Linked DNA regions of Pelodiscus sinensis. Each later gene encodes a partner of the first gene's protein in a complex. Links are inferred from orthologs where the notes say so. Each region holds a gene or a part of one and is shown on either strand. Other genes may lie near its edges.

Region 1 (7,666 bases):
TTTAAAGCTCACAGGCAGATTGTCAGGGACTTTTGTTTTATTTATAGTTAGCATGTGTGGAGAGAAATAAAACAGTAATTTAAAATACTGTGCAATTAAGGGTTTATTTCTTCAACGTGCAGAAGTTTCTCATTCCAGTAGCTTATTTCAAAGCATAAAGAATTGGAATCTCTAGGTAGTTGTGCCTCATCCATTAAGAGGTGGATAGACATGAAGAAATACAGGAATGGGGATTCCTTTCCATTTAAAAAAAGGAAAGAGATGAATATCCAGGACTTCTATAAAAGTTGAACATTTATGATGACCATCTGTATGAGTACCGGATCTGTTCCAGTCACGTGCAGTTTAATGGTCTTCCTTTCCTTATGGTTCACTATTATATAAAGCACTAAATTACCAGTTCAGCTGTTCCCCAGGCTCTGTTCCTTAAAAATATAACTTCCCTTTCTGCTTGAAACAAAAGAATCTGCTCACTAAAAACACACTCCATAAAATGAAGTCTCCTGTTCATTAAATTCACAATAGATGGTTGCATGAGCCCAAGGACAATTAAATTGGATTAGCTGAAAAACAGACATATTCTACCTATGGGGAATATTGTATGCATATACATGAAAATTAAATATTGAACAAAGGTATGAGGCTTTTTTTTAACTGGGGCAGGTAGGATGCTTGCCATCTGCTGAACACATTGCCCTGTCAAATATCACAGATTCATATCCTGAATGTGGAAACCAAGTGCACATAGCAAATCCATGGATTTCTTTAGTATCTGCCTTCCACTGGCTTTTCTCCTTTACTTGCAGCTCAATTTTGCCACTTCACTGATTGATAAGCTGTGCTACCTCCCACTATTTTGGGGAACTGAGAGCCCAATTTTTCAAATCTTCCTTATGTCAAGAGTACTTTATTGTGTGACAAGTCCCATTCACTGTAAAGGAAATACTCATGTGACTAGAGACTTCACACCTGACAGATTGGCGGAATTGGGCCTATAAAATTAGAAACATAGAATGAGAGATCTAAGTATCTGTGCAGAGTGACTGCATGGTGTCTAGCCAAGGAGCAGCATATCGTTTGTTATTGACAAGAAAAAAGGTCTCCCTAATTTAAGTAATCAACTGGAAAATCCCAAAGGAGTAAATTATTTTAAGATGGAACCTTGACTTACCAACACGCCATGTGGGAAGAACTTCCATGAAGATCTGACTTAATCATAAGTTCACTGCCATACTTTTACTTTATGCATACCTGCTCCTTTCATAGGGATATTCAGTGGTAAGGATTTTGAACCAATATTTTAAAATGCATTAAATTATCCAAGACCAAGGTAACGATGATGAAATGAGGTTTCAGACACTTCAATTAAAATTATATTCTAATGTCCTGAGACACACACCTTTAATGATGTTTCCTCAAATATAAAGTTAGCTTTAGAATTACTCCTTAACATTTATATTTGCTTCTGTGGGCAGTTTATTTAGTCTGTAGAGGTTTTGAGAGTCAGGATTCCTGGATTCTAGAAATGAGCGATTATCATATGTTTTTCTTTTAAAATTTCTAGTTGATATTTTATGAGGAACATGTAGATAGACTGGATTACCTTTCTTCTTATATTGAATCATTTCAACAGAAGGTTAACATCACATTTCAAAGGGTCAAACTCTAATGGCATTTTCCGTAAAATGGGTGCAACAACATTTAACTACCGTGTCAACTTTAATTAATTGATAGCAACTTCCAACCACTTTCAGTACAAATTCCAACCACTCAGGAATTACTCTAGCTTCCTCTGAACTGCCCACAAGCTCTTCCTCCCCTAAATCTCTTTTGAGCACTTCAAGGAATAAGGTCTTGCCTGCCTGTATTTATTTCCTTTATTCAAGGAAAACCTGTGAAAGAAAATTGGTGTCAACACTTTTACCAACATTAAACTATTCTGTAGAACTCTCATCTTTCGAATATTATCAAGGGAAACAGTTTGGTAGGATTTCTTTTTAAAATAGATTGACATTTATATGAATTCACTCTGCAGTTACACCAGTTAGGTTAAAACTACAATAATTCAAAAATCCTGCCAAAATTCCTAAAAACTGATCATCAACTGCAGTCCAGGGGGACAATAATTTATATTGCAGGATTCCCCACTCTCCTCCAAGAAGACTGGGCCCTGTGTATCTTGGTGAATCTCATGTATGTGGGGTTAAGGTGACCATATTTTGAAAAAAAAAATTTTTTTTAAAAGCAGGACACTTTTGTAAAAACGTTTTTAAAGGTAAGGAAATACTCATTCAAAAGTAATTTAAAAATATGTATCGGTGTCACTGCTGCTAGCTTTTCACTCAAAAGCAACACGGGGAAATATCTTAAGCGTGCAGTGCATTTTCTACTAAAGTTAGAGTGCACGTTCATGATACTTCTTCAGCTGATGGGCCTTACAGTTCAATCCACTGTGGGCTATACTCTCCACTCCTAACACCATTCATCCCATCCAATGCTCCTTCCGCTGCACTAGTGCCTTAAGCACCGGACTCCTACTCAGTACTGCAGTACTTCCTGGACCATTTGTTTTTAAAACTTTTAGGATATATAGAAAACTGGAAGGACTCAGGTGCCCTGAAAGCAGGTCTTAGGTAGGGATGTTAAATATGGGTTAATTAAATAGTCAAGTAACCTCATGAATTCTTATCAGTTAGTTGACTATTCTATAGCCCCAGGGGGTGAGGCTGGCAGCCAGTTCACTTCAGCCTTACTCCTGAGGAACCCCCTGCCACTCAGCAGCGCAGGGTGCCAGACGGAAGCTGCTCCAGTTTAAAAAACAGCTCCCCTTGTGGATCAGCTGCCTGTCACCCTGTACTGCTGCCTCTCATAAAGAGGAAGCAGTGCAGGGTGTCAGCAGCCCCTGTGTGTGGGGGGGGGGGGGGGTGGAGGGGGGTGGAGCGGGATCGGTCTGAACTCCCAGACCCAGCATGAGCCGGAACCAAGCCGGGCTGCCTGCCTGCTAGGGTTGCCAGGTGTCCGGTTTTGAACTGGACAGTCCAGTATTTAAGCTTTCTGTTTGGGGAACTAATTGAGAAAATATAAATGTCCAGTATTTTCTAAATAAGATGTAATGTAGAGTGTGATGTAATGTTAAGTGTGTCTGGTATTTTTGTTGAAACCATGTGGCACCCCTACCGCCTGCCCATCTCCTAATACACTTTAAATGCAGAGCCACAGCAGGGGTAGGTCTCAAATCCATCACAAGCCAGGACTGAGATGGGCTGCTGGTCAGCCTGCTAAAAAATTTACTGGCAAGGGGTGGAGGAGAGAAATGTGTGTAGTCTATAGCATTAACCTATTAGCTTTTGCTTATCGGTTTAAGGGTTAATCGACTGCTTTATTACATCCCTAGTCATAGAATCATAGACTCATAGGGCTGGAAGAGACCTCAGGTGGTCATCAAGTCCAGCCCCCTGCCCAAAACAGGACCAATCTGGGTCAGCAGGACATTGTGTGAAAAAAACAGGCTGTGGGATGGCCATGGTGGGTACGCCACATATTGCAACCAGCCACATGCCAGGCTCAGTTGGGCCCAGGGAATACTGGGCAGGGAGGGTGTGACGTAGTGGGGGTACCTGGCTGGTTTCTATGCTGCTGGCTCTGGGGTAACCCCCACTGGCTCCCGTGGGTACCACGACCCAGCAAAACAGGATGAGTCACTATGCAAACCAGTATGGCCAGACACCCCCCATGGAGAGGAACAAAGGAAGGTGGAATGCTGCCCTGGCTGGGGGGCAGGGCTGGAAGAGAGTTAGTTAGTTGCGGTCTGTGAGCATGGAGGAGACAGCCTAGGGAGAGGGGCTGGAGTTTAGGGGCCCAGTCTCCCCCCAACTCAAGGGGGCCTGAGGCATCCTAGCCCAGCTCTGTGACCAGATTACATCTGTGCTGTGCTGTATCCTGGAGAGGCAATAAACTTCTTCTATTCCACCGGCTGGTGCAGTCTGTTTGTGCCATTTCGGGGTGCAGGAGACGGGGGACCCCCAACGCGCCGTCACAGAGGGATGCCCTCTTGGGGGTGCCCTGCCAGAGAGCATGGGGGGAAAGGCTAGAGAGGGTTGCCAGGCGTCCCGTTTTGAACCAGACAGTCCAGTATTTTAACTTTCTGTTCAGGAAACAAATTGAGAACTATAAGTGTCCAGTATTTTCTAAATAAGATGAAATGTGGATTGTGATGTCATGTCAAGTGTGTCCAGTATTTTTGTTGAAACCATCTGGCAACCTGGCTAGACATATGATTTAATGACTAAACTTGTTTCTACATGTGTTTTGAAATCACAGGCTATATTTTTCTATGCAAATATTGGAATTTCAAAATGTAGTAGATTATAAAATGGGGAAATAAGTTCTTGTACACAATTTGTCACACTTGGCACTGGCCCCCACCCATAGGCCTGGGGCTCTGCTTTGGGGCTGGCAGCAAGCAGGAGCCCTGGGCCTGGGACAGGAGCGACCCCTCCCTTCCTGCCCTGGCTGGGGTTGGTGGGGGCACAGTCAGGGTAGCGGCTTCGCGGGTTGCTACTGCGCATGCTCGAATCGCTAGTTGCCATGGCAGCGGGTTGGCTGCCCCTCGCGCGGCCAGCATGGCGCTGCCGGATCCGGTCAGGAGGCGGCTCGGCTCCTTTAGCCGGTCTGTGTTCAGCGACAACAACCGCACCGGCCCGGAGCGCCGAGAGAGCGGCGGCAGCCTGGGTAAGGCCTGGTTGCGCTGCCCGCAACAAAGATGGCGGCGGCATCCTCAAAGGGAGAGAGGTGGGGGGGCAGAGGGTCGCTGCCAGGAACGAAGATGGCGGCGCCAACGTCGCTGTAGCGGGGCTATGGCTAGGACTGGGCGGATGGGACAGCGCGTCCCCGCGCTCAAAGGGCGGGAAGGGGGCGCGCGCTGCCTTGCGCCGGCAGCTTCCCCCCTCCCTCCGCCCCAGGGGTGGCAGCAGCCGCCGCGCGGGGCCTCCCTGCTGCGCCGTGGCTTGGGGACGTGGCTCCGCGTTGGCGTCCCCGGGGCTGCGGGTGCCAGAGCATCCCCGGGCTCGCGGGAGTGAGAGCTGCGCTAATGCATCGTCTCCGCCCTCAGCCCCCCTGTTCCTGCTCCACGGCTTGGCTTAGGTACCGCTCCCCAGGCTGTGAGCCTGCCTGCTGGGGGGCTAGACCCCAGCTTGGGAGCTAGGCTGTGCTGCCAGTCCCACCCGTTCAAAAATCCCAGGTCAGGCATCCCCCCTGGAGCTCAAGAGGCCCTCATCAAAATCCTGAGATTTAAACGAGGACTATGGGGTCTTTGCCTTTGGGTTTCGCATGATTAGGGGTTTGCTTTGGGATGGTTGTTTCTTTGGTTGTGGCAGCTTTTCTTAGCAGCCAGGAAGGATCGGAAGCTCTAAAAAATAAAAGCTGAGATTCTCACAATCCCAGGACTCTAGAAGCTGGGGCTTTAAGAAAAGCACCACAAACTATTAAACCAGTTGGGATGCCATTGGACATCAGCCCAGGGCAAAACATATTGACTGTGTCAGACTGGCAAGTTTTTCCACAAAAGCGGGTGCTTTTGCGGAAAAACTTGCCAGCTGTTTACACGGGCTGCTTGAATTTCTGCAAGAACACTGACGATCTCATGTAAGAAATCAGTGCTTCTGGCAGAAATACTATGCTGCTCCCGTTCGGGCAAAAGTCCTTTTGGGCAAAAGGGCCAGTGTAGACAGCTCAGATTTGTTTTGCGCAAAAAAACCCCGATTGCAAAAATGGCGATCAGGGCTTTTTTGCGCAAAAGCGCGTCTAGATTGGCATGGATGCTTTTCCGCAAAAAGTGCTTTTGCAGAAAAGCGTTTGTGTCAATCTAGACGCTCTTTTCCGCAAATGCTTTTAACAGAAAACTTTTCTGTTTAAAGCATTTGCGGAAAATCATGCCAGTCTAGACGTAGCCTCTGTGCCTTTCTGTGAAAATACTACCATCCCTTCACACTCAGCCAGGCACTCGGTGTAACTTGCCAGATATTTTATACCACCACCTAGCATATTTCATCTGAAAAGCACAAAGCACTCCAGGACGTAAAATAAATCAGACTCTCACTGCCACCACATGTAACTGATGGTTTGGGTGTTTGAATTGGATCTGCTGAACCAGGGACACGTAACAGGACTTACAGGTGAGGCAATCATAAGGAGGAACTTCCACATGCACAAACCCATGGTACTTGTGGATACTTCTATGGGCTGCACTTTGAGAAATGGGGGGGAACTTCCAACAGTCAGTTTACTGATAATTAATTCAAGTAGATTTAATGTGATATCAATCCATTGGACAAAGAAAGAAGGAAACTTGTCAGTTGAAACAAAACCATTCCTGATGTTCTCATTTTTAGGACTTATTTTGTATCTGGGTCTGGTTGTATATTTTTGTTTTGTTTTTGGAATTTACATGCAAACTCTAAACACTGTAGAACTTTACCTCCTACATAGTATTCCAAGGGTCAGTATTTTGTTTTTCTGAGGTTTAGCAGCTAATTTTCTTCTCTTCATAGTGTTTGATTTGTAACTCCTCATTCTGTAATGTACATTCAAATTTGCCCCTTTTTAAAAAGCATATTGGATTGACATTGCTGGAGTCTAGAATTTTCTGTGCAGAAGAAAGATTGCATGGAGACCAAGCGATGCAAGCTTCTCCATCAGCATGCTTGCGTTCTGATTTGTAGAGATCAGTTTTAATTTGAGTATAATCAAATATATATGGTCACTTAGTCCCATTAAAAAAAGGCCTAGCATTATCACATTGCTACAGTCAGGCATCAGGAATTAAGAGTACAAGTCAGTTCACCTCCACTGTCTATTGCTCTCCTTTTGAGCACCTCCTCTGCTTAACACCTTCCTTATTTCTTTGTATACTCCCATCACACTTAGATTGTTTAGAATACGGTAGGGAATTATGTAGAAAAATTCTTCCTCTGGCCACTTTGACATATGCTTAATGATGAACTTGGTTGATCTCAGAATCCAACCATTAATGAGTTGAAGTTGTTCTCTTAAAGTAGAGGCATCTTTCTCTGCTCTATGTAGGAAATATAATGTCTGATACAGACCTTGGGTGATGATGATTTCTCTCGCTCTCTAGATAATGAAATAGTTGCCAGTTTGCCATTGCAGATGTCCCTCTATTTCAACCTTTACTTTTTCCCATTTTGGTGGGTAAGCAGTGTGGTCATGCTCCAGCTGAAGGTAAGTCCTGAGGGGACTTATCCCCTACAACATCTGTGCTGCCTGTTTGAATTTTATTTCCTTACACTGTCTGCAAGAGTAATATAATACTCAGCCCATCTACTCATTTCCTTCAACCCACACATGGCAAATGTTATTTAATAGAGTGCAATAGCTTAGTGGAAATGTCTGAGTATCTGGAGGTGCAGGAATTTGTGACAGAGTTAGTGACAGGTTTGGTTGGGTGGCAGATTGAAAAATCAGGGGCAACGGCTTGTCAACTTTCAGGAATATTGACAGTGCTGCATGAATTTCCAGAATGCAAATTCCATGAGCTTCTGTAGAGCTGTATAAAATAGCAATAGCACATGCCAGCCCCATGGAATTCTTACTTTCTTCCTCTCTCTAGTACCCAGTCTTGCCAGATTACTACAAGTTCATCCTGGTC
Region 2 (7,304 bases), on another chromosome or scaffold:
CCCATTAAGGATCTGGAGGAAATGACAGAATGGAGCAGCCCCTGGGAGAGAGGAGCAAGGAAGTGGGTAAAGGGACCCAGTGTGCTGAGCTCTGTGGGGGGCTGCACAGTTGCTCTCACATCTGTTTCCTGCCCTTAATGTCCGTTGTGCCCCTCTATCTCTTTCAGAACCTGCGCTGGAAAAACTCCACCCGCTTTGTGTGGACAGATGGGCTGCAGGCCCTCTTTGTGTTCCAGCGGCTGGGTAAGAGACAAGCTCCGCTCTGGACCCTTCAACTCCCCCAAGCAACCACCCACAGACACCTAGACTCAGGGAGAGCTACCAGAAAGCTGGCCCCATCTGCCTTCCCTGCTGTCTCCCAGGCTGGGATCTGGGGTTTGTTAAGGAATGGCATCTCTGTTCCCCTGAGCCGTACCAAACCCTTCCCATGGGGGCTGGATCTCGATGAGGCTCTGCCTGCCCTGGTGGTCAGCAAGACACACTGGGGTGATCCAGCAGACAGAGGAGGGGGTAGGGGTGAAGACATTCTGAACGGGTTGAGCTGTCTCATCTTCCTCTTGCTTTCCCCAGCGGCCGTGCTGTACTGCTACTTCTACAAGAGGACGGCCTTGCACCTGGGTGACCCCCGCTTCTACCAGGACTCCCTATGGCTGCGCAAGGAGTTTGCTCACATCCGCAGCTGATGGCTTCCCCTCGGACCCAGAGCCATGGCCGGTCCGTGGCTGCTCCCTGTTGGCTGGCACAAAGCCCCCTTTCCTCTTTATCCAGAACAGTCCACCCCCAGCCCTACACACAGCTTGCTTGCCGGCTGACCAATGGGGTCCTGTTGGTATCAACCCCTTTCAGCTCTGCTTTGCATATCTGGTGGGATGAGGTGCCAGGACTCAGCCTGCCCTAGCTGTACCTGTGGGAACTCTATCCTGGTGGTAGAACTTCCTTTTGTACCTGCGTATTTTTATAAGTTATGAGACAGTAAATTGGCTCCCTTTTCCAGAAACCTCCTTGTGTGTTTGCATTTTTTGGGTGCACCCTCCTTTCCCCAGGCCCTGTACTGTACTGAGGGCATATGCCCCACTATGCTCCCCCTCGCTCCAGCATTATTGTGTCCTAGCCCACATTGCAGCTAATTCTACTGGGGACAGGAGCCCAGTGGCCAGGACACCCTCCCTGCAGCTGCTGAGCTGCCTGTGGTGTTTAGTCATTCCCCAGTCATGGATCAGAGCCCTGCAGAGCTAGGCACTATAGTAACACAGAACAAAGATGGTCACCGCCCCAAAAGAGCTGACAATCTAAGCAGAAGACAATAAGATCATACCCTGTCACCCTGACTAGCAGTATGTGTGCCATCTGCACAGTAGGTGTTACTGCATGGGTTGATTTCCTCTGCCATTCTGCATCTGAAGGATGCAGAGCCTTAGTAAAGGCCAGGGCAGAGGTGTGGACTGGGAATGGCACTGTAACATACAGCCCATGTATCCCATGCTACTCAGTCTTGGAAGCATGGGTGGTGAGTTATATGGGTACATGGAGTCTGGGCACTAGGAATGTTCCTGGGTCTTGTCCCTGATCCCACCTGCCATCTCTGTGGACCTCCCCTGAAGCATTCCCCAGTCCAACCTGCAGCCCTTGGGCAATTTAAAACTGCCCCCCCATCACCACTACCAGTGGCAGTGCAGCAGGGCTACAGTGGCTTCTGGCCACTTGTTCCATGTGGCTGCTGGCACATGCGGCTCCACAGAGGGGAGGTGTCTCTGTACACTGCCCCCTTCCTGTGTGGTCCATGGGAAGCTGCCGGGATGGTACTGCCAGAGAGGAGTGCCCCTGGTAAGCACTGCACCCCAACCCCTCCCTCTGCACTCCTCCTTTGCCCCACCCCCTCCCCAGTCTTTTCTCCCACCGCCACTACTCCCTCCAACTCCCAGACTACTCCTTCCTGCATTCTCCCTTCCAGCCCAGAGCCTGTACGCAAGCACACAGACTCCTGCCCAAAGCCTGCAGCCCAGATACTCTTCCACACTCAGAGCACAACCCCTCACCTCCCTCCTAAAGCATGCATGTCCTGCACCTCATTCCCTTGCACCCAACACTCAAACTCCCTCCCAGAGCCTTAGGCTGGTGGGGAAGTGACTTTGGGCTGGGGAGGGGTGCGGGCATTGTGGACATCTGCAAAATTGCTGCCCTGCTTGGCAGGGCAAGAACATGGAGCACTTGCTAGCCTAACGAGCTCAGATTAGAAATAAGCTCAGGTTCCCTTTAGGTTGCCAATGCACTGTGTTTTCAGCACTGTTTTATTTCCAAGTTGCCTATTCCCGAGGAGAAAGGGCCTGGGTAGCAGAGGGAGTACAGCTCAGGAGTTAGAAATAAATATCATAATGAAGAACCATGTTATTTCCTTTCTCCAGACAGGCTGTGGGGCTGCACTGCATGGGGGGAAGTGGAGAGGACTGTTGGACGATGACCCCATTATGCTGCCTGGGGAGAAGGAAGGGGGGGTCACTGGCAATGTTCCCTCTTTTTTTTTTTTCATCCATATGCAGAATACATTTTGTTAAGTGTCTCCACCAGTAGAAACACATGTGCACCACCAGTAGAAACACATGCTGCTGACTGGGTGCTCTGCTAATTAGCTGGGTGGCACCTGATTTTCAGCTTACAGGGAACACTGGACTGGTGAGCAATGGGTATTACACCAATGGAGGAGTAGGGTTGGGATGCTGAAGGAGGGGGCAGGGACTCATCAGAAGCTGTGCCAGTGGTACTGTAGTCACCAGCCTTGCTGTTTGGCAATTGATGGGAAATCAGGGTTCATATGGGACAATGAAGGGAGTGTGTACCATGTAATGCCCCCAATATTAGCCATGAGCCCCCAGATCAGAGGAAGAGCCAATGGTAGTGTTAACTCTTTGATAGGCTCATAGAACTGGAAGGAACCTGGAAAGATCTAGTCCAACCCCCTGCACTCACAGAAGGACCAACCACCATCTAGAACAGGAGTGGGAACCTTTTTTGGGTCAGGGGCTGCAGACCCACAGAAAAATCAGTTGGGGGCTGCACACAAGTGAGAAGGAAAAAAAACCTAAGATGCAGAAAGACACTTCACTTTCCCCTGTGTCTTGGTGGCCAGATCCAAGCAAGCTGGGGGCTGCATCTGGTCCCTGGCCTTAGGTTCCCCACCCCTGATAGATGCCCTTCCAAACCGCTCTTAAATATCCCCAGTGATGAAGCTTCCACAACCTCCCTAGGCAACTTACTCCAGTGTTTAACCACCCTGACAGGAAGTTTTTCCAAATGTCCAACCTAAATCTCCCTTGCTGCAATTGAAGCCCATTGCTTCTTGTCCTATCCTCAGAGGCCAAGGAGAACAATTTTTCTCCCTTCTCCTGCTAACACCCTTTCAGGTACTTGAAAACTGCTACTGTAGCCCACCCAGCTAGGCTATGTCTACACTGGCAGGTTCTTGTGCAAGAATCTGCAGAGCATCCACACTGCCCACCCTCTCTTGTGCAAGAAGATTTACAGTACAGCGTAGTGAGAGAGGGCTTCTTGCGCAAGAGCTATGCTCTTTTTTAACAGGTGTAAGCCCTCTTGCGCAAGAGGGCAGTGTGGACGCTCGGCAGGGGTTTCTTGCACAAGAAAATGGCCACTGGAGCTTTCTTGCACAAGAGAGCATCCACACTGCCATGGGCGCTCTTGCGCAAAAGCACCGCTCGCACATGGCAGTGGGGATGTTTTCTTGAGCAAGACTTCTTGCACAAGAACCCTTGCACAAGATGTTCTTGTGCAAGAAGCTGCGAGTGTAGCCCTAGCCCTAGTGTGGTTCGCTGTCCCAGGTAGTGGCACTTGGACCACTGGCAGGGAGAGATGAGAACAAGGGAGCTCCACAGCCTCAGCTGGGTTTGCAGCTCAGGGCTCCAGGTCCAGGTCCCCATAGGGGGGGGGAGCTACATGCTCATGTTGGGGAGCACAGCGCCCCAGCTCCTGCAGCCAGAGGGCGGGGTAGGGCACGAGACACCCCCTCCCCCTTTAAACCAGCACTGGGGGCGGAGTCTTCGCTCGCCTCGGGCTGAGCTCGCGGCGCGGCGCCCGGCGGGTCCTCCAGCACCATAGAGCGGCGGGGCTGAGCCGGACGGAGCGGCGCAGGGCACCGGCCGCTCTGGCCCCCGCACTTCCGCTTCGCCGGCCCGCGTACCCGGAAGCGATGTCGCTGGGTGACAGTTTCCATGGCGATGGAAGATGGCGCTCAGAAGTAAGTGCCGGGCTGGGGGAGAGGAGCGGGGGCGGTTACGGATTCCTCCCCCCTCCCCCTCCCCCTCCCCCTTCCCTCAGGAGCCTTCACCGAGCGCGGGGGGGGGCGGCGCCACGTGACCCTCATTCATGTGGGAAAGGCACGTGACCTCCCCATCTCCCACCCTCGGGGCGGTCCGTCCCCCTCCCCCTCCGCTAGCTGGGGCGCCACGTGACCCCACGTCCCTGCTCTCCCTGGGGCTGCCACATGCCCCTCCTCCGGGGGGGGGGGCAGGGCGGTGTCACGTGAGCCCCATCGGAGGGGGGTGGCCTTTGACCTTTCCTGGGGGGGGAGGGGCGCATGTGTCCCAACCCCGGCACCATGGGGGGGGGCACCTGCCTCCCCTTGCCCCACCCCATGCACGGAGCCAGCGCAGGGGTCAGGCCAAGGAGTGGGAGGGCTCAGGGCAGGAGATGGGGGAGCTGGGGGCTGGGCTGCTCCAAGGGCACTGGGGCGACACTCACTCACTTTCACCTTTGGCGTTAGCGCAGTTCAGGGTCTTCTGGCTTCCTCTGCCCATTTTGGGAGAAGACTGAGGCCAGCAGACTTGTCTGGGGAGTGGCACCTTGCCCACTCATGCTGTTCATCCCCCAGGCCGTCAGCTCTCCTCCACCCCGCTGGAAATCCTGCTCTTCCTTAATGGGTGGTATTACGCCACTTACTTCCTCCTGGAGATCTTCATATTTGTCTATAAAGGTGAGTTCCCTCGGCTGCCATCTCAGATCACCAGGGCCATGGAACTGCCTTTAGCAGCAGGGGCTGCTGTCTGGGCTGTGGCATCAGGTATCCCAGGACAAGCCCAGGGGAGTGTCATTTGACTTAAACGCTTTGGCCAGCCCCACTCCCTCGCAGGGCTGCATCTGATGCAGGGTAGGGTTGTAATAGTACAGTAAATTAACCAATAAGCAAAAGCTTATAGGTTAATACTACAGACTACATGCATTTTCTGCCCCTTGCCAGTAAATGTTTTAGCAGGCTGGCCAGCAGCCTGGCTCAGTCCTGGCTTGCACTGGGTCCGGGACCTACCCCCTTCTGGCTCTGCATTTAAAACGTATTAGATGCCAGGCAGCCCGGCTCAGTTCTGTATCAGAGGCAGCAGTACAACGTGGCAGGCAGTTCCCACCTGGCAACCTATGCTGCTGCCTCTGATAGAGACACAGCAGCGTGTGGTAGCAGGGGGCTCCTCGGGAGTGGGGCCAGAGTGCACTGGCTGCCAGCCCCAGCCTGGAGACTATAGAATAGTTGACTAACCGATAGGAACTCATGAGGTTAATCGACTATTTGGTTAACAAATATTTAACAACCCTAGTACAAGGAGGTGTAAAAAGAAGTCATTAACATTTTACTGGGCAAGGACTGGGACCTTTAGATGAGCCTGTCTGTGTCCTTGCTGGACCTCTCTAGGGCTGTCCATGAGACTTGCGGGAAAGTTTGAGGGTCTTGTGCTCCTCCTGAAACAGGTGACTTTTGTGTCCTTAGGGCTGCTGTTACCATACCCCTCTGCCAACCTAGCCCTGGATCTGGTCATGCTCTTCCTCTATCTCGGCATTGAAGTCACCCGGATATTTTTTGGTGAGTGCCTAGGACTAATGGCCAGCTCTGGAACAGCAAGGCAAGTTGCCCAGGCTGGTACCCTGAGTTCAGTGGACTGCCAAGCAGTCAGTACAACTCCCTTTTGTTCACAACTTGGAGATGGATCAGTGCCTAGAACTGGAGAGCTCTTTGCCTGAGCCAGCCAGCCCCCTCGCCCAGACCAGATTGGAGCCAGATCCCTGGAAAGGAAATGCCCTTGTCCCATTCCCAGCCCCCTGCCTGGGGTTGAATTGGAGCCTGTTCCCTAAAGGGGAGAGGGCTGTGTAAACCATTCCCCAGCACTCTGCATGCATGGATGCCTGCAGGGTGGGGAGCGGTTGCCTCACACACTGTGCCATGTGGCAGGCTCCAAAGGGAACTTGTGCCAGCGGAAGGTGCCGCTCTCCATCAGCCTGGCCTTGACATTCCCGGCAGCGGTGATGGCAGCCTATTACCTGCTGCTGCAGACCTACGCCCTGCGGCTGGAGGCCATCCTCAACGCCATCCTGCTGCTCTTCTATGCCGTCGAACTGCTCCTGGGCATCCTCACCCTGGCCTCCTTCTCCAGGTACCCCTCCCCTGCTGCCTCCTGCCTTGGGAGGCAGTGGAAGATTGAGTGGCAGAGAGAGGGGCTGGAGTGCACAAACTGGCTGGGAGGGAGACTGGATCTCAGGGTGAAAACAAGCTCTGGGGCTGGAGCGGGCATAAATAGGGGATGGGCAAAGTGGGGAGAGAAAATGGTGCTGACACCCAAGACAGGCAGTTCCTGTATGTGCCTAGGGATCAGGACTTCTGGGTGCCATTCCCGATTGCCCCTGCTTGTTTCCTCACCTGCATGCCTCTCCTCTGATGGGCTGCCTCTCCCCAGGATGAGGACAGATTCTTGAGAGAGAGAAGCCAGTGGGGTGACAGGACTGCCCAGGGTTGTGAGGGAAGCTCCCCTTAGCCAGAGCCCAGTTCAGGGTGAGGTTGGAAGCTACCACAGGTTTGCTAGTGATGGCCAGGCTCATTGCTGTTTATCTCCCTCTAGGGTGGACTCGTACTGAGGCTTGTTCCAGGCCAGACAAGGCTACACATTGCCTGGGGCCGGAGGCCACACATTCGCTCCCTACATGGCTGGTCTGATGGCAGCCTCTCAGTCCTTTGGCGTTAGATCCAGCTGCAGCCTCATTCTGCATCAGCCCCGGCCAGGCAGAGAGCCACCGCCGGGGTGCCCAGCGGCTTGGAAAGAGACTTTAATTCACTTCCCAGACCTGGTACCATGTGAAGCAGCCATTCCTTGTGCCCAGGCACCACCCCTATCTGGGGCCATGCCGAGGGGGACAGAAGGGAGGCTGTCAGAAGCTGTCCTGGATCCTGTTCCAGCCCTGCTGGATGGGGGTTAAAGCTTGTTTGAGCCACACCCCCACAGATCATGCCTACACCTGTTGTGTCCTATGTCAGCAGG
Region 3 (7,380 bases), about 89 Mb from region 1:
CCCGGCACAGTTCCGGCTCGTGCTGGGTCCAGGAGCTCAGACCCCTGGACAGGGACTGCTGACACTCTGTGCTGCTGCCTCTCTATCAGAGGGAGCAGTGGGGGGTGACAGACAGACGGTCCACGAGGGGAGCAGGTTTTTAAACTGGCTCCCCTCGTGGACCAACTCCCACCTAAGCACCCTGCGCTGCTGCTTCTGATACAGAGGCAGCAGAATGAAGTGGCAGGGGGCTCCACAGGAGTGGTGCTGGAGTGCACTGGCTGTAACCCCCCCTCCCTCCCCAGCAACTATAGAATAGTCAGGTAGCCAATACAAATTCATGAGGTTACAGGCAGTCCCCGACTTACGCGGATCCAACTTATGTCGGATCCGCACTTACGAACGGGGCTTTTCTCGCCCCGGAGCTCACGGGCGGCAGGACCGCCCAGAGCGCAGCGGTCCCGCCACCGCGTCCTCTGGGGCGAGAAAAGCTGCTCCGGGTCTCCCTGGTGTGCTGGGGGGGACTCCCCCAGCACAGCAGGGAGACAGGAGCAAAGCCGCAGAGGCGGCGGGACCTCTGCGCCTCCGTGGCTTTGCTCGGGTCTCCCTGGTCTGCTGGGGGGGAAGGGGAAGCAGCTAGTGCGCCCACCCCCCAGCAGACCAGGCTTTTGTTGCGGAATGCCTGGGGTAGAGCAGCTGGGGTGCTGCCGGGTTGGTCCTGCGGGGACCTACCCGGCAGTGCCCCAGCTATTCTGTCCCAGGAGTCCAGATTCAGCCGCTGTTGAAACTGATCAGCGGCTGATTCCAGGAAGCCGGGGGCAGATCAACTCTGCCTAGGGCTTCCTGTAGTCAGCCGCTGATCAGTTTCAGCAGCAGCTGAATCTGGAGCCAGTTCCGACTTACATACAAATTCAACTTAAGAACAAACCTATAGTCCCTATCTTGTACGTAACCCGGGGACTGCCTGTACTTGACTATTCAATTAACTGATATTTAACATCCCTAGTACAGTGGTTGGTTTTGCTCCTGACACTTTTATTTTAGCTGTCATGCAACAAAGATCATATCTGCAGTATGGTCGGAAGTAACACTGGGACACTGGTAAAAAAATTTCTGACAGGTGCAAAAGATAGTTTGCAAGGATCTGAATGTTGCCTCTAACAGCATGGAGAGAGATTCCATGATAGTTTCCACAGGCCACTTTATCCCCTTTCTTAAAAAGGGTAACAATCAAGGTGTCCCTCATTTCACTTGCTATCCTGATTTTCAGGATAAGCAAGCTTAGCTGCTGAATTTACTCTGGTCCACTATCTTTAAAGTTGTCAGCAGGGATCCCATCTGGACCTGCTGTCTTGTTGTTCTTCATCTGCTTAATGGCACTGTATATCTCATGCAAATTGGGAGAGTCTCCAAGCTCATTCCTAGGTCTTTGAGGGATTTGCCCAAGAACTTCATCTGCAACCATGAAATTACGATTAAGACCTTCAAAATGTTTTCTCCACCAAAAATTAATGGTTTAATTGTCCTTTGAAAGTGGGGATGTGAATTCACATCCAGTAGGAATGTGGATGGTTAACCGGCTAACAGGTAAGCCTCACCCATTTGCTACACTTAACTGGTTGAAGCGGGAGGCCCCCTCCATGTAATCGGTTAACTGGTTAAACAATTATTATAACTTGTTAACTAATTAAATGGGACTTTATATCCCTACCACCCAGTTAGTGGTCTTTAGAGGACCTCACTATTAACTTTCCACCTTTCTGAAAACTGACCATTTATTCCTATCCTTTCCCCCCTATCTTTTAACTAGTTACTGATTCAGGACAAGACCTTCCTTTTTATCCCATGACTGGTTATTTTGTTCAAGCACCATTGGTGAGGGAGCCCAAATACACTATATCCACCAGATCACCTTTGTCCATGTTTGTTGATCCCCCCTCTCCTCCCCACATCTCTCCTTCAAATAATTCTAACAGATTGGCAAGACGTGATTTTCCTTGATAAAAGCCATGTTGATTCTTCTTCAAACCGTGTTCACCGATGTGTCTCATAATTCAGTTCTGTATTAGTTTCAACTACTTTGCCCTGTACTGTAACAGCCAGGACCATCTCCAGAGCCTTATTAAAACATTGGCTCTGCAGCATAATCTGCGTTGCCAGCCATTCATTCACTGGAAATTATCTGGGGCCAGGAGAACAGCTCTGGACAGCCCAGCCTCATGCCCCACAGCCCAGGTTATGGGGGTGGCGCCAGCAATGGACATCCGGTATGTAAGGCAGGGGAAGGCTTTACCTTCTCAAACCACCAGGCTTGACCCCACCTACACTCGGCTCCCAGAACGTCTACGCTAGGACTTCTGGGGGTGGAGCGCTGCTGCCCCTATCGACACCCTCCCTGCAGCACTCCACAGCTAGGGGAGACAAGGGCGAGCAGCCACCCCCTCCCCATGGCTGGGCTGCCCCACCTCCCCATGTGGGCAGGGAAAGGGCAGGGCCTCAGCAGAAGGGGCGGGGCTGCAGGTGGGGTGGGGGCTTGTCTCCCCAAGTCCTCCCCCCCTTCACCAGCTACCCACGGTGCCAGGCATCCCTACGCTGAACAAACGCGCCTCCACGGAGTCCTGCCCCAGGACTGGGAAAGCGCAGGGCCCAGGGGAGGCAGCAAAGTGCGAGCGCTGCCCTAGCCCGCGGGAGTCGCTGCACCCCCCCATCCGGGCTCATCCCGGGTGCCTCGGCCAGCAGCGCCCGGCCAGCGCCTCCCGCCGCCAGGGACGCGGGTGCAGTTGCGAGGATCGGGGCCGAGCTCGGGCGTGGGGACGCGTCCAGGGTGGAGACCCAGTTTTCCGCCCCCTCCCACTTTCCCTCCCCGCCAGCGCGCGCAGGGCAGCGGCTCTCACTCACTTCGGCCGGGCTTCTTGCACCGTCTCTAGTTAGGAGTGGCGCGGCGGGTCCCTTCTCCATCCCCCCCCGCCGCCACTTGGTTTCTCCCTCATCCCCCTCCGCCGCCTCGCGCGCTATAGTTTCGCCGACAACAAACAACAGCGTCAGCTGCCAAGGAAACAACGCCTGGCAAACTGCGCCTGCGCTGACAGCGGGACGCGACGTGTTGAATGATCGCTTTACACGCCGGGAAGGAAATAGGGGAACGCACATCCGGGACTTCTTCGGAGGTCACTCTCCCCTCCCGCCCCCCACCAAAAATGCAACGGAAACACACGCGTCACTGCTGAGTCCTGAAGACGGCACGAACACGCGCTACTTAAAATTAAGGGAGGCCGTTGCGGGAGGGAGGGGCAAGGCGCATGCGCTTGAGACTGAGGCAGGGGAAGGAGTTGGGCGAGACGTGGCGCGCGCGCGCAAGAAGTGGGGCGTTCTGATGCCAGCGTGCAGGGCGCCGAGATGGTTTCGCCCCGTGCGCCAGGCTAAGGGCCCTGCCGCCGGTTCTGGCCTTGGCACGGGTCGAGTTCGAGGCCGCCCGCGCTGGCTGAGTGAAGGGAGGGGCCGGGCGTTCTGGGCCTGCCCCAAGCCTAGTAAGCGACGGGAGGGCTCCTGCTGAAACCAGCGGGCCCGTTGCCCGGCCCTTCCCTGCTGCCATGGCGCCCTGCCCGGGGGTCTGGTCAGTTTCACTCGCGCGCTCCCTGCAATAGAGCCCGCCACCTGGCTTAGGAGTGGAGAACTGGCCCCTCAGCCGCGGGCGCCAGAGACCCCTCCTTAAAGTTAGACCCCTTGGATTTCAAACTTGAGGTCACTTGAAAGCGGCATGTCCTGCTCCCAGAGGCAGTTCTTAAACGCAAGGAGATTTTGAGCTGCTCGCAGCTTTGCCTTTGGGGCAGGGAGTTTGTTATAAAAAGAAGGGAGGCAGGTGCTTAAGCATAAGGCTGGGCCTTCCAGTAATTAAGCTCATTAGATCTTCATGAAAACATGGCCAGGCACTCTACAGGTAGTCCCCAACTCACTAACGAGTTAAGCACCAAGCACTTGGTCGTAAAGACGTGTTCATAAGTTGGACCCCATTCATTTCAATGGGACCGTGCTGTTCGTAAGCGTGGATTGCTGTTTGTAAATCGGGGCCGTGCTTAATGGGAAGTTGGTTGTGAGTGCAGCGGGTCGTACGTCGCTGTGTTTGTAAGTTGGGGACTAGTACTTAAAAGATAGGAGAAAAGAAAAGAGGAGGAATGTGAATGACTAGCTAACAGGCTAATTGACTAGTTACTCCCCCCCCCCCCCCTGCCTCTATGAGAAAGAGGCAGTAACGGGGGAAAGAGGAGGAGGTGCTTCAAAGCAGCAGTGGAAGGGGCCCCTCACTTTCCCCTGCTAACCCTGGGCTCCCTGTAGCATTGCTGCTTTGAAACACCACTGGGAGCATGGGGCTAGCAGGAAACTACTGGCACTGTGGGGGGTGTTGCTACACTTCAAAGGCAAGACACCCATATTGGCTAATCAAATAGTTGATGCAAATTGTGTTGACTAGTTGATTAGCCAATTAATCTAAATTTGACATCCCTAGGAATGAGTTTTGTACTGCTAGGATTTACATTTGGACCTGTACTTTTACACTTACAAATATTCTTGAAAAAGAGAGAGCCAGAGAGGTAGCAAAATTTGCAGATACTACAAAATTACACAAAATAGGTAAAGCCAAAGCTGACTGCAAAGAGTAACAAAGGGATCTCACGAAACTGGGTGACTGGACAACACAAAGGCTGATGGAATTCAGTGTTGATAAATGCGAAATAATGCAAATTGAACAATATAATGCAAACTGTACATACAAAAATGATGGGGTCTAAAATAGCTTGCCTCTACCCAAGAAAGTGATCTTTGAATCATTGTGGATAGTTGCCTGAAAATCTGCTCAATGTGCAGTGGCAGTCTAAAAACTAAGAAACTAACCATATATTGGGATTCATTAGGAAAGGCTAACAGACAAACTATATTGCCTCTATATAAAGTAATGGTATGCCCACATCTTGAATACTGTGTGCAGATTTGACCAACCCATCTAAAAAGATATATGGGATTTAGAAAAGGTACAGGAAGGGCAACAGGAATGATTTCCATCTGAAGAGAAATTAACAAGACTGGGACTTTTCAGCTTGGAAAAGAAAATATTAAAGGGTAGAGGATGTGTTAGATGTCTAGAAAATTATGATTGGTGTAAAAAATAGAATAAGGAAATGTTACTTATTCCTGCACTAACATAACAGAAGAAGTTCACCCAATTAAATTTATAGACAGAGTTAAAACAAAATGTGTGTATTTAGCAGCATGTTGTATGGATGTGAGACATGGGTGATAATGAAAGATTCAAAGAGAAGGATATTGGTGTTTGAGAAGAGGTGTTATAGAAAGATCCTGAGAATAGAATGGATGCAGAAGATTACCAATGAGGAATTATATAGGAAGATACAGCCAAAAGAGAACCTACTGCAGAAGGTTATACAACGGAAGTTACAGATATTCAGGCATATCTGCAGAATGAACGACGACCGAAAAGTTAAGACCCTGATATTTGGCATAATGGATGGTGCGAATAGGAGAGGTAGACCCCACAGAGAATGGGTAGATGATATAGTAGATTGTTGCGGAGCTAGTCTACAGAAACTAAGCCACTCTGCACTGGACAGGGAAAGATGGAAGGAAATAGTGAGGGAGGCATTGGACACTAACGGGCTTTGAGCCCATGGTGGTTGATGATGATTATGATGATATTTCTTCAGTATTTGTCAGGAGATGGTGAAAAGACACAAACTATAACAGGGTTCCAATAAGAACAAAATAAGTTCAAGAAGGATAGGTCCATCAATGTTTACTAGCTAGAATGGCAGGGATGGCATCCCTAGCCTCTTTTTGCCACAAGCTGGGAATGGGCAACGGGTTGGATCATTTGAAAAATGCCTCTTTTGCTCATGCCTTCTGAAGCACTTGGCATTGACCACTTTTGAAAGAGGAAATTGGGCTAGGTGGATCATTAGTCTGATCGCCATTCTGATCTTATATAGATGCCAAATATATCTGCCCCCAGCTGTAACCTATTAGACCCCACTTCACTTCCAGAGCTGAGCTAGAGCCCAAGAGTCCTGACTGTGTGTCTCCCTGCAAAGTTGGTAACAAAGTAAGGATACATATTAATATTTTAAGATTAACAACTGTTCCTTAAGTGACTTGCCACAAGATGTCAGAACATGTTAATATTAGAGCTGGTGGCACGGTCACATGTCTTTCTAAGACAAGTTATGATTTGGACTTACATAAAGCTACATACTTCTAACTTCACATGATACATACAAATAGAATATACATATTCAGCAGATAACTTGTTACATGATGTTTTATGTTGCATGTTGCATTATGCATATTCATAGTAATAAGCTAATTTTCATAAAGCATGAGGCCGGGGGGCATTTCTATGGACAGAACTCTAAGGCTTTCAAACTATGTGTTTGTATTTGAGACAGAGGATGTAGAAGACACATGGCAAAAAGAATATAAAAGGCACAGAGGTGTAGCGAAGGGGGGGGGGCAGGAACGGGCAGTTGCCCCCAGTGCCATGCTAGAGGGGCACCGGGCCGGGGTGGGAGCAGAGCACACACCACGCAGGCCCACTTGACGCTTAGATCAGTGAGCTGGCAGCTGGGCCACGTGCTGCCACCCGGAACACACTGTGAGCAGAGGCAGCTGGCAGGAGTGGCCTCTTTTAAAAGTAAGATGAACTTAACTGACTGGGTCTTCTGGTGCCTGGCTCTGAAGGAGGGGGATTTGGTTGGTGGGGGGGGGGTGTTGGTTTGCTTGGCTCTGAAGGAGGCGATTCGGTTGTAAGGGCGCTGGGTTGCTTGGCTCCTTTGCTCCTGGGCGCATAACACCCTCGCTACACCTCTGAAAAGGCAGCTGCATCTTCTCCATCTTGTCTTCAGTTGTCTCTCTCATCAAGTTTTTCAGCACTCCTACTGGCTCAATTTCTTTCAGTCAGGATTCTTCCCCCAGTCCCAATCCATTTCCTTTGTTCTCCCCGTTTTGTGGATGCCATGGTGTCGCAGATGATGCATGTCTCATCTCCCTATGCTATGGGATGAGACAAAGATTATTATATGCCCATAACCAAGTCTGCATGACCCTCCTCTGGATCCCAGAATAGTGTGGCCTAACAGCCAAAATCAGTGTACTCACCCTCACAATAAGAGATGGGCACCCTACTGGCCGGAGTCGGTGGGGGTGGTGAAGTGGGCTGCAATCTCAGAGTAGGCAGGGTCCCCCTGCTCTGCTTCAGCCTGCTGGCTCTTAATACATTTAGGCTACGTCTACACTAGGGGTTTTCTCGGAGAAAAATATGCTAATGAAAGACTCATTTGCAAGAGTCGCAATCTCATTTGCATATTTTCTGCCGATCTATTTTTGCGCTGGGGC
Region 4 (7,309 bases), on another chromosome or scaffold:
GGACGCGCGGGGCCGGGGGAGCGGAGCGGTGTTGGGAGGGGGAAATCCGGGGGGGCGCGGGAGCGAGCGGCGCTGGGGGGGGAGCGAAGGGGGTGCGTGGGGCGGGGGGGGGGAGCGGAGCGGCGCTGGTGGAGGGATCCGGGGGGGGCGGGGAGCGGAGCGGCGCTGGGGGGGGAGCGGAGCGGCGCTGGGGGAGGGGAGCGAGGGGGGTGCGTGGGGGGGGGAGCGGAGCGGCGCTGGGGGAGGATGCGTGGGGCCGGGGGGCGGAGCGGCGCAGGGAGGGGTGCGCGGGGCGGGGGAGCGGAGCGGCGCTGGGGGAGGGATCGGGGGGGGGCGGGGAGCGGAGCGGCGCTGGGGGGGGATCCGGGGGGGGGGCGGGGAGCGGAGCGGCGCTGGGGGAGGGATCGGGGGGGGCGGGGAGCGGAGCGGCGCTGGGGGAGGATGCGTGGGGCCGGGGGGCGGAGCGGCGCAGGGAGGGGTGCGCGGGGCGGGGGAGCGGAGCGGCGCTGGGGGAGGGATCGGGGGGGCGGGGAGCGGAGCGGCGCTGGGGGGGATCCGGGGGGGGGGGCGGGGAGCGGAGCGGCGCTGGGGGGGGATCCGGGGGGGGCGGGGAGCGGAGCGGCGCTGGGGGCTGGAGCCAAGCGCCCGGGTGAATCACTAATCGGCGGCCCGCGAGCGAGGGGGAGGCGGGGGAGGGAACAGGCAGGTGGTGGGGGGCTGCGGGCGGGAGCGGGGGGGGGGCAGGGCTGGGGGAGGCTTCCACGGGTCTGTCGTGGCAGGGAGAGGCTGCAGCACGTGCACTGTGTCCTTGTGCCCCAAGGCCCCACCAGGCGGGGGGGGGGGGGGGGGGGGGGTTGCTGAGTGGGGCAGGTGAGGGGGAGGTCACCGGGCTGTGTGGGGGGGGTCACTGCATGAGGGGCACCGTGTGGGGCGGTTGCTATATGGGTGGGGGGCACCATGGGGGGCGGGGCCTCTGCCCTGTGGGGCCTGAAGGAGCTACCAGGAGCTTCTGCTTCCTTCCCTGTTTTGGCAGCATCTGGACCCCTCCCCCCCCCCCCCCTGTGCCAGGCGCTGCCGGTTCCTGCCCTTTGCTGGGGACGTGGGGCCTAGGGCTGAGTTGCCCAGAGGGCTTGGGGGTCACAGAGGGGTCACAGCCCTGCAGGCCCCAATGGAGCTCAGTTCCCCCCCATTCTGCATCTATCTCCCCCCTCCGTTCCCACCCTCCTCCCCATCTGCTGAGGCTGCTCTCAAACGCTGCGGGGGGGGAAGCTTGGCAGCAAGGCCTAGTGCGCAGAGCCCTAGACTGGGCCTCAGGAGACCCAGCGTCCCAATCCTGGCCTGTCACTGTCGTGCTCCGTGCCTCAGTTTCCCCAGCTGCAAGGGAGGACTAGCGACCCCCGCCCCTGAGAGAGGTGCCAGCGTGTGGCTGAGGGAGGGGGCTGGGGGCTGGGGGGCCAGCCACAGGGGGATCCATTAGTCAGCGCAAGGTGCGGGGGTCGGACGTCAATGTCATGGCTGCTGCATAATCAGCCCCCATCCCACCAAGCAGGAGTGCGGCTGTTAAAGGCCCCAGCCCCCCCCTCCACCCCCCAGCTGCCGCCTCTTGCATGTGGAGGTGGGAGCAGCCACCGGGGACCCAGGAGTCCTGTAGCCAAACGCACCCGCTGCTGTTCATGGATTTCCTTCTAGCCCCACGGGGACATTGGCCCCCAGCCCTGCCGGTGCCCCTCTCTCCTGCCCCCCAGCCCCTGCCCCCCCAGCCCTGCCGGTGCCCCTCGCTCCGACCCACAGCCACTGCCCCCCCAGCCCTGCCGGTGCCCCTCGCTCCGACCCGCAGCCACTGCCCCCCCAGCCCTGCCGGTGCCCCTCTCTCCTGCCCCCCAGCCCCTGCCCCCCCAGCCCTGCCGGTGCCCCTCGCTCCGACCCGCAGCCACTGCCCCCCCAGCCCTGCCGGTGCCCCTCTCTCCTGCCCCCCAGCCCCTGCCCCCCCAGCCCTGCCGGTGCCCCTCTCTCCTGCCCCCCAGCCCCTGCCCCCCCAGCCCTGCCGGTGCCCCTCGCTCCGACCCACAGCCCCTGCCCCCCCAGCCCTGCCGGTGCCCCTCGCTCCGACCCACAGCCCCTGCCCCCCCAGCCCTGCCGGTGCCCCTCGCTCCGACCCGCAGCCACTGCCCCCCCAGCCCTGCCGGTGCCCCTCGCTCCGACCCACAGCCCCTGCCCCCCGAGCCCTGCCGGTGCCCCTCTCTCCTGCCCCCCAGCCCCTGCCCCCCCAGCCCTGCCGGTGCCCCTCGCTCCGACCCGCAGCCCCTACCCCCCCAGCTCTGTTGGATCCCATGTCTCTCTCTGGGGAACAGCCCAACTCAAGCTCCCTGCCCCAAGGGTTTTGCGATGGAGCCGACCAGACCGGGCATCTCTGGATCCAGACAGTAACAAGCCACCAGGACACAGGCCTGGTCTGGGTGTGAACCAGCCTGGTTTTGTCCCCCCCCCCCACCTTGGCCCTCACGCCGGGTGGGGCTAGCCAGGCACAAAGCTGGGCTAGTGGGGATCCAGCCAGAGTTGGACCAGGCTCAGGCTCAGCCTGCTGGTGCCCCCCCGCCTGGGCCCTGTGCTGGGAAGCAGACGGGGCGTGGTGCATTAGGCGCCTGTGCTCTCAGCTTCTCGCCAGCATTTTAGAACCCTGCTCGGAGCCCGTGGGGGGCTGGAAACAGCAGGTTTCCAAGGGACGCTAGAGCAAAGGGCCCATGATGCCAGGAGAGAGCAACATGGTGCCTGCTATCTGGCAGGAAGGGCCCGTGGTTATAGCTGAAGGGGGAGAGGATGGTGCTAGGACTCCTGGGTTCTCTCCCCAGCTCCGCCACTGATGTCCACCACGATTATGGGCATGCGCTCTCTGTGCCTCAGTTTCCCCCTCCACTGCATTGTGAAGCACTTTCAGTTCTGCCTGATCCCGCCCTCTTTGCAGCAGTAGCCAGTCGCCAGTCGGGTGGCAAGTGTGAAAACGCAGGGTGGCCACAGGCAGACAAAGCCCCAAATATCTGGACTGTCCCTATAAAATGGGGACACCTGGTCACCCTAATGGCCACCCAGCTAGGGCCCAGGGGGCTCTTTCCGTAACGGGTGCTCTCGGGCAGGGTGGGCCTGTGGGACTCACTGCCACAAGATGTCACCATGGCCGAGCACAGTGCAGGACCCACCGAGCTTGGCTCTTGGGTTAGATCAGGGCTGAGTGAACGAAGTCAGAGGTGCCCCTTGGGTGTGCTGCAGGGGTCTCTGCTTGGCGGTGGCTCGTCCCTGCTGAGTGTCCAAGGCCCAGCAGTGCGCAGGGCGTGGCCCGGGGGTGGAGGGTGAAGTGCCTGGAGCAGGGGGTCAGATTTTGTGTCTGGCTGTGGGCGGGGGCGGGGGATGGCTGGTCCATGCAGGCTGGCAGATCCAGGGCGGGGTGGCTGCCTACGTTTGCTGAGGGTCTGTCTCCCTCTGGACAACGCGCTGGGCACTGGGGGCCGGGAAGGCCAGCGGCCCAGCGGCTGGTGCCTGGCGCTCGGTCTGCTGGGCTCCAGCTCGACCATCAGATACGGGCTGGGACGGGCGGGGCTGGGGCCTGGACTCAGGCAGGCCCTGAGCTCAGCCCTGGTGCTCCCACAGTGCCCCCCCCCCGCGTTCCCATGGTGCCCCACAATCTCCTCCCCCGTTGCTATGGTGTTCCCATGATGCCCCTCCCCCGTTGCTATGGTGTTCCCATGATGCCCCTCCCCCGTTGCCATGATGCCCCTCCCTCGTTGCCATGGTGTTCCCAGATTCCCCTCCCCCGTTGCTATGGTGTTCCCATGATGCCCCTCCCCTGTTGCCATGATGCCCCTCCCCCGTTGCCATGGTGTTCCCAGATTCCCCTCCCCCGTTGCCATGGTGTTCCCAGATTCCCCTCCCCCGTTGCCATGGTGTTCCCATGATGCCCCTCCCCCGTTGCCATGGTGTTCCCAGATTCCCCTCCCCCGTTGCCATGGTGTTCCCATGATGCCCCTCCCCCGTTGCCATGGTGTTCCCATGATGCCCCTCCCCTGTTGCCACGGTGCTCTCACGAAGCGCAGCCCCCACGCTGCCAAGCTCGCTGCCCTTCCCAAAGATGGCTGCCTCCAGGGCTTTGCTCCGCCCAATAGCGGCGTCCCCGGCCCGTCATGACCCATCCAAGATGGCGCCGCCTTCACGACTCTCTTTGCCACAGTCAAGATGGCGGCGAACTCTTGTCGTCTTCCTGGGCGGGGCCTGCGCCAAGCGCCGTCACGTGCCCCTGCGCCAGCCAATCAGGATTCGGCGTTGGGGAGGAGCCCGCCGCCGTTGCCGTAGCAGCCGCGGGCTCGCGAGCGGCGCGCGGCGGAGCCGGGCCCGTGGCGCGAGCGGGTCTGTAGCTCTTCAGGGAGGGCGGGGCGGTGGGATGGTGGCCGCGCAGTGCGCATGCGTTTGGTGTCGCTCCTGCCTGCCCTTCCCGGCCCCCGCCGTTACACGGTGTGAGCTGAGCACGCGCCCGGCGCCTTGTCCCCGCCCCGAGACACACGTGGGGGGGGCCGGGCCCTGGGGCGGGGCAATGGGGGCGGGGCCCGGGGTGGAGAATGGGCGGGGCCAGTGGGGGCAGGGCCCGGGGTGAAGGAGGGGCGGGGCCAGTGGGGGCGGGGCCCGGGGTGACGGAGGGGCGTGGCCAGTGGGGGCGGGGCCCGATGTGAAGGAGGGGCGTGGCCAATGGGGGCGTGGCCCGGGGTGAAGGAGGGGCGTGGCCAGTGGGGCGGGGCCCGATGTGAAGGAGGGGCGTGGCCAGTGGGGGCGGGGCCCGGGGTGAAGGAGGGGCGGGGCCAGTGGGGGCGGGGTCCGGGGTGAAGGAGGGGCGGGGGTCAGTGGGGGCGGGGCCCGGGGTGGAGAATGGGCGGGGCCAGTGGGGGCGGGGCCCGGGGTGAAGGAGGGGCGGGGGTCAGTGGGGGCGGGGCCCGGGGTGGAGAATGGGCGGGGCCAGTGGGGGCGGGGCCCGGGGTGAAGGAGGGGCGTGGCCAGTGGGGGCGGGGCCCGGGGTGAAGGAGGGGCGGGGCCAGTGGGGGCGGGGCCCGATGTGAAGGAGGGGCGTGGCCAGTGGGGGCGGGGCCCGATGTGAAGGAGGGGCGTGGCCAGTGGGGGCGGGGCCCGAGGGTGCTGATGTCTCAGCAGTGGGGGGGGTCTCTTGCCTTTCAGGGGTGCTGCTCCCAGAGGGGGGTTGCCCTGGGGCGGGGGTCTCCCCACAAGGGTGCAGCCCCCACTGGGCGGGGAGGGGCTGGTCTGCAGCGCCCGCCCCCCCAGCACCGTGCCGGGCATGGAGCCGGGTATCCAGGCGGGTCCCGCGGCCCCCCCAGAGCAGGCGGCCGGACCTTCAGCTGCCCAGGGCTCTGCCCCGCTGCAGCAGCCCAGCGGCGGGTCCCTGGCGGGTTGGCCCCCAGCAATTTCAGCCCTTGTGGGGCAGGTGCCCCAAGGACCCGCCGCAAGGAGGGCAGCTCGGTGCCGCTTCCTTGGGAAGGAGCTAGAGCTGGGGCTGAGCGTCAGGATGCCTGGGGTCTTTCTGGCGGTGGGAGGGCAGTGGGGGCTAGTGGTTAGGGAGCGAGCAGGGGCTGGGAGCCAGGACTCCTGGGTTCTATTTCTAACCCCCCTCTTGGGTCGCCCGCGGCAGGACCATGGCCGAAGTGCACATCATCGGGCAGCTCGTGGGCGCCAGCGGCTTCCCCCGCTCCAGCCTCTTCTGCAAGTGGGGAATCCACACAGGTCAGCCAGAGCCACGGGCACCCGCGAGGCTGGGGGGTGGCATCTGCGGTGAACGGGCTGGAGAGGCCCAGAGCCAGAGCCAGCGGGTTGGAGAACTGGGGGCCCAGTCTTGTGGGTTCTATCCCAGGCCTAGCGGTTAGAGCCAGGGCTGGGAGCCCCTCGCTGACCATGCTCCCCCCCCCCAGGCGGCGCCTGGAAGCTGCTCTCCGGCCTGCGGGAGGGGCAGACACAGGTGGATCACCCCCAGCTGGACGACGTGGCCTATTGGTCCCACCCCATCGACGTGCACTTCGCCACCAAGGGCTTGCAGGGTAAGCGGGGGCCGCCGGCCCCAGGGCCAACCCCCTCTGTCCGGGGTGCCTGGATCTCCGAACCGGCCTGGGGGCAGGGCCAGTGGTACGGGCAGGTGGCTGCCAGGGGGCCCATCTCTCCCCCCACGTTCTGGGTGGCCCCCGGAGGCTGGGCAGGGCAGGGCAGGGCAGACTTCCCCCTGGACACAGGTTTCAGCCCTGGTCTTGTGTCCCTGTCCCCACGGGACAGACAGCCCAGGAGATGGGGAAAGGCGCTGGCTGGTGGTGTTCTTTGTACGCTGGGCGCCTGTGCCACTGCTCAGGAGAGAGTCCGGCGCTGCCCAGCCGGCGAGGAGAGCGCCCACCGCTAGGTTTTGTTTCTCTTGGTGGTGCACATCCACACGTGCCCCCGTGTACAGCATAAAATTATTCCGCGCGTGGGTGGCAAAGCCCTGCAGTGGCTGGAGGAGCTGAGAGGGAACCTTGCAGGCCCAGCGCAAAGCGAGTTCCTCTCAGTGAAAGGCATTTTGCCTCCTGTCCAGAACCCCCAGAGGCGGTTTGTTGCCCAGTGATCTGGGGTTTTCTGCCCTCCTTTCAGCCCCCAAGGCAGGTCCTGGAGGGGGACAGATGCAGCCCCACGTCCCCCTGTCCCGGCTGCAGGAGAAAGGCTGGTGGCTCCTATGGGACGGGGCATGGAGCATGCGGCCCATCCCCTCTCGGGGTGCTGGCCCAGGCAGTGCCAGGGTTGGGGGCTCTGACGGGTCCCCTCTCTCCACCAGGCTGGCCCAAGCTGCACGTGCAGGTCTGGCACCAGGACGCCTTCGGGCGCAGCGAGCTGTACGGCTACGGCTTCTGCCACGTGCCCTGCAGCCCGGGCTGGCACGCGCTGGCCTGCGCCACCTGGCAGCCCCTGGGCTCCTGGCAGGAGCGGCTCTCCCAGCTCTTCGTGGGCGGGGGGCCCCAGCTGCTGAACAGCGACCTGATCTACACGGGGGCCGACCGGTACCGCCTGCAGACCGTCGCCGCCGGCACCGTGCACCTACAGCTGGGCGTGCTGCTGCGCAACTTCGCCCGCTACGGGGTGGAGTGCTAGCAGGGGGCTTGCTGTGGGGCGGGGCGCTGGGGGGGGCAGGTGGGGAGGGGGTCCTGCTGGGGTGCTGGGGGGCAGGTGGGCCCCTGCTGGGGGGCAGAGGAATGGAGGGGCCCCTGCCGTGGGGCGGGGCGCTGGGGGGCAGGTGGGTCACTGC

Evidence for each region.
Region 2: TMEM17 (region 1) and TMEM216 share a complex: the UniProt entries of both Homo sapiens proteins name them as parts of the tectonic-like complex. The link is inferred for Pelodiscus sinensis from reciprocal best matches to the Homo sapiens genes TMEM17 and TMEM216.
Region 3: TMEM17 (region 1) and AHI1 share a complex: the UniProt entries of both Homo sapiens proteins name them as parts of the tectonic-like complex. The link is inferred for Pelodiscus sinensis from reciprocal best matches to the Homo sapiens genes TMEM17 and AHI1.
Region 4: TMEM17 (region 1) and B9D2 share a complex: the UniProt entries of both Homo sapiens proteins name them as parts of the tectonic-like complex. The link is inferred for Pelodiscus sinensis from reciprocal best matches to the Homo sapiens genes TMEM17 and B9D2.

What each region holds. Positions count from the first base shown.
Region 1 is NC_134713.1:185,703,729-185,711,394, forward strand, and holds the start of TMEM17 (transmembrane protein 17), read left to right. Parts: upstream 1-4,564; 5' UTR 4,565-4,622; coding exon 4,623-4,731; intron 4,732-5,813; exon of another isoform or gene 5,814-6,115; coding exon of another isoform or gene 6,116-6,173; intron 6,174-7,135; coding exon 7,136-7,239; intron 7,240-7,627; coding exon 7,628-7,666. UniProt on the Homo sapiens protein: Transmembrane component of the tectonic-like complex, a complex localized at the transition zone of primary cilia and acting as a barrier that prevents diffusion of transmembrane proteins between the cilia and plasma membranes.
Region 2 is NC_134714.1:125,525,403-125,532,706, forward strand, and holds the start of TMEM216 (transmembrane protein 216), read left to right. Parts: upstream 1-4,098; 5' UTR 4,099-4,233; coding exon 4,234-4,246; intron 4,247-4,771; exon of another isoform or gene 4,772-4,879; coding exon 4,880-4,981; intron 4,982-5,764; coding exon 5,765-5,857; intron 5,858-6,222; exon of another isoform or gene 6,223-6,223; coding exon 6,224-6,425; exon of another isoform or gene 6,426-6,887; coding exon 6,888-6,903; 3' UTR 6,904-7,304. Other genes in the region: TMEM138 (transmembrane protein 138), read left to right, coding at 168-243, 571-683. UniProt on the Homo sapiens protein: Part of the tectonic-like complex which is required for tissue-specific ciliogenesis and may regulate ciliary membrane composition.
Region 3 is NC_134713.1:96,668,659-96,676,038, forward strand, and holds the start of AHI1 (jouberin), read right to left. Parts: upstream 3,068-7,380; 5' UTR 2,878-3,067; intron 1-2,877. UniProt on the Homo sapiens protein: Involved in vesicle trafficking and required for ciliogenesis, formation of primary non-motile cilium, and recruitment of RAB8A to the basal body of primary cilium.
Region 4 is NW_027465992.1:84,067-91,375, reverse strand, and holds the start of B9D2 (B9 domain-containing protein 2), read left to right. Parts: upstream 1-4,252; 5' UTR 4,253-4,395; intron 4,396-4,451; exon of another isoform or gene 4,452-4,502; intron 4,503-5,680; 5' UTR 5,681-5,684; coding exon 5,685-5,772; intron 5,773-5,957; coding exon 5,958-6,083; intron 6,084-6,841; coding exon 6,842-7,155; 3' UTR 7,156-7,309. UniProt on the Homo sapiens protein: Component of the tectonic-like complex, a complex localized at the transition zone of primary cilia and acting as a barrier that prevents diffusion of transmembrane proteins between the cilia and plasma membranes.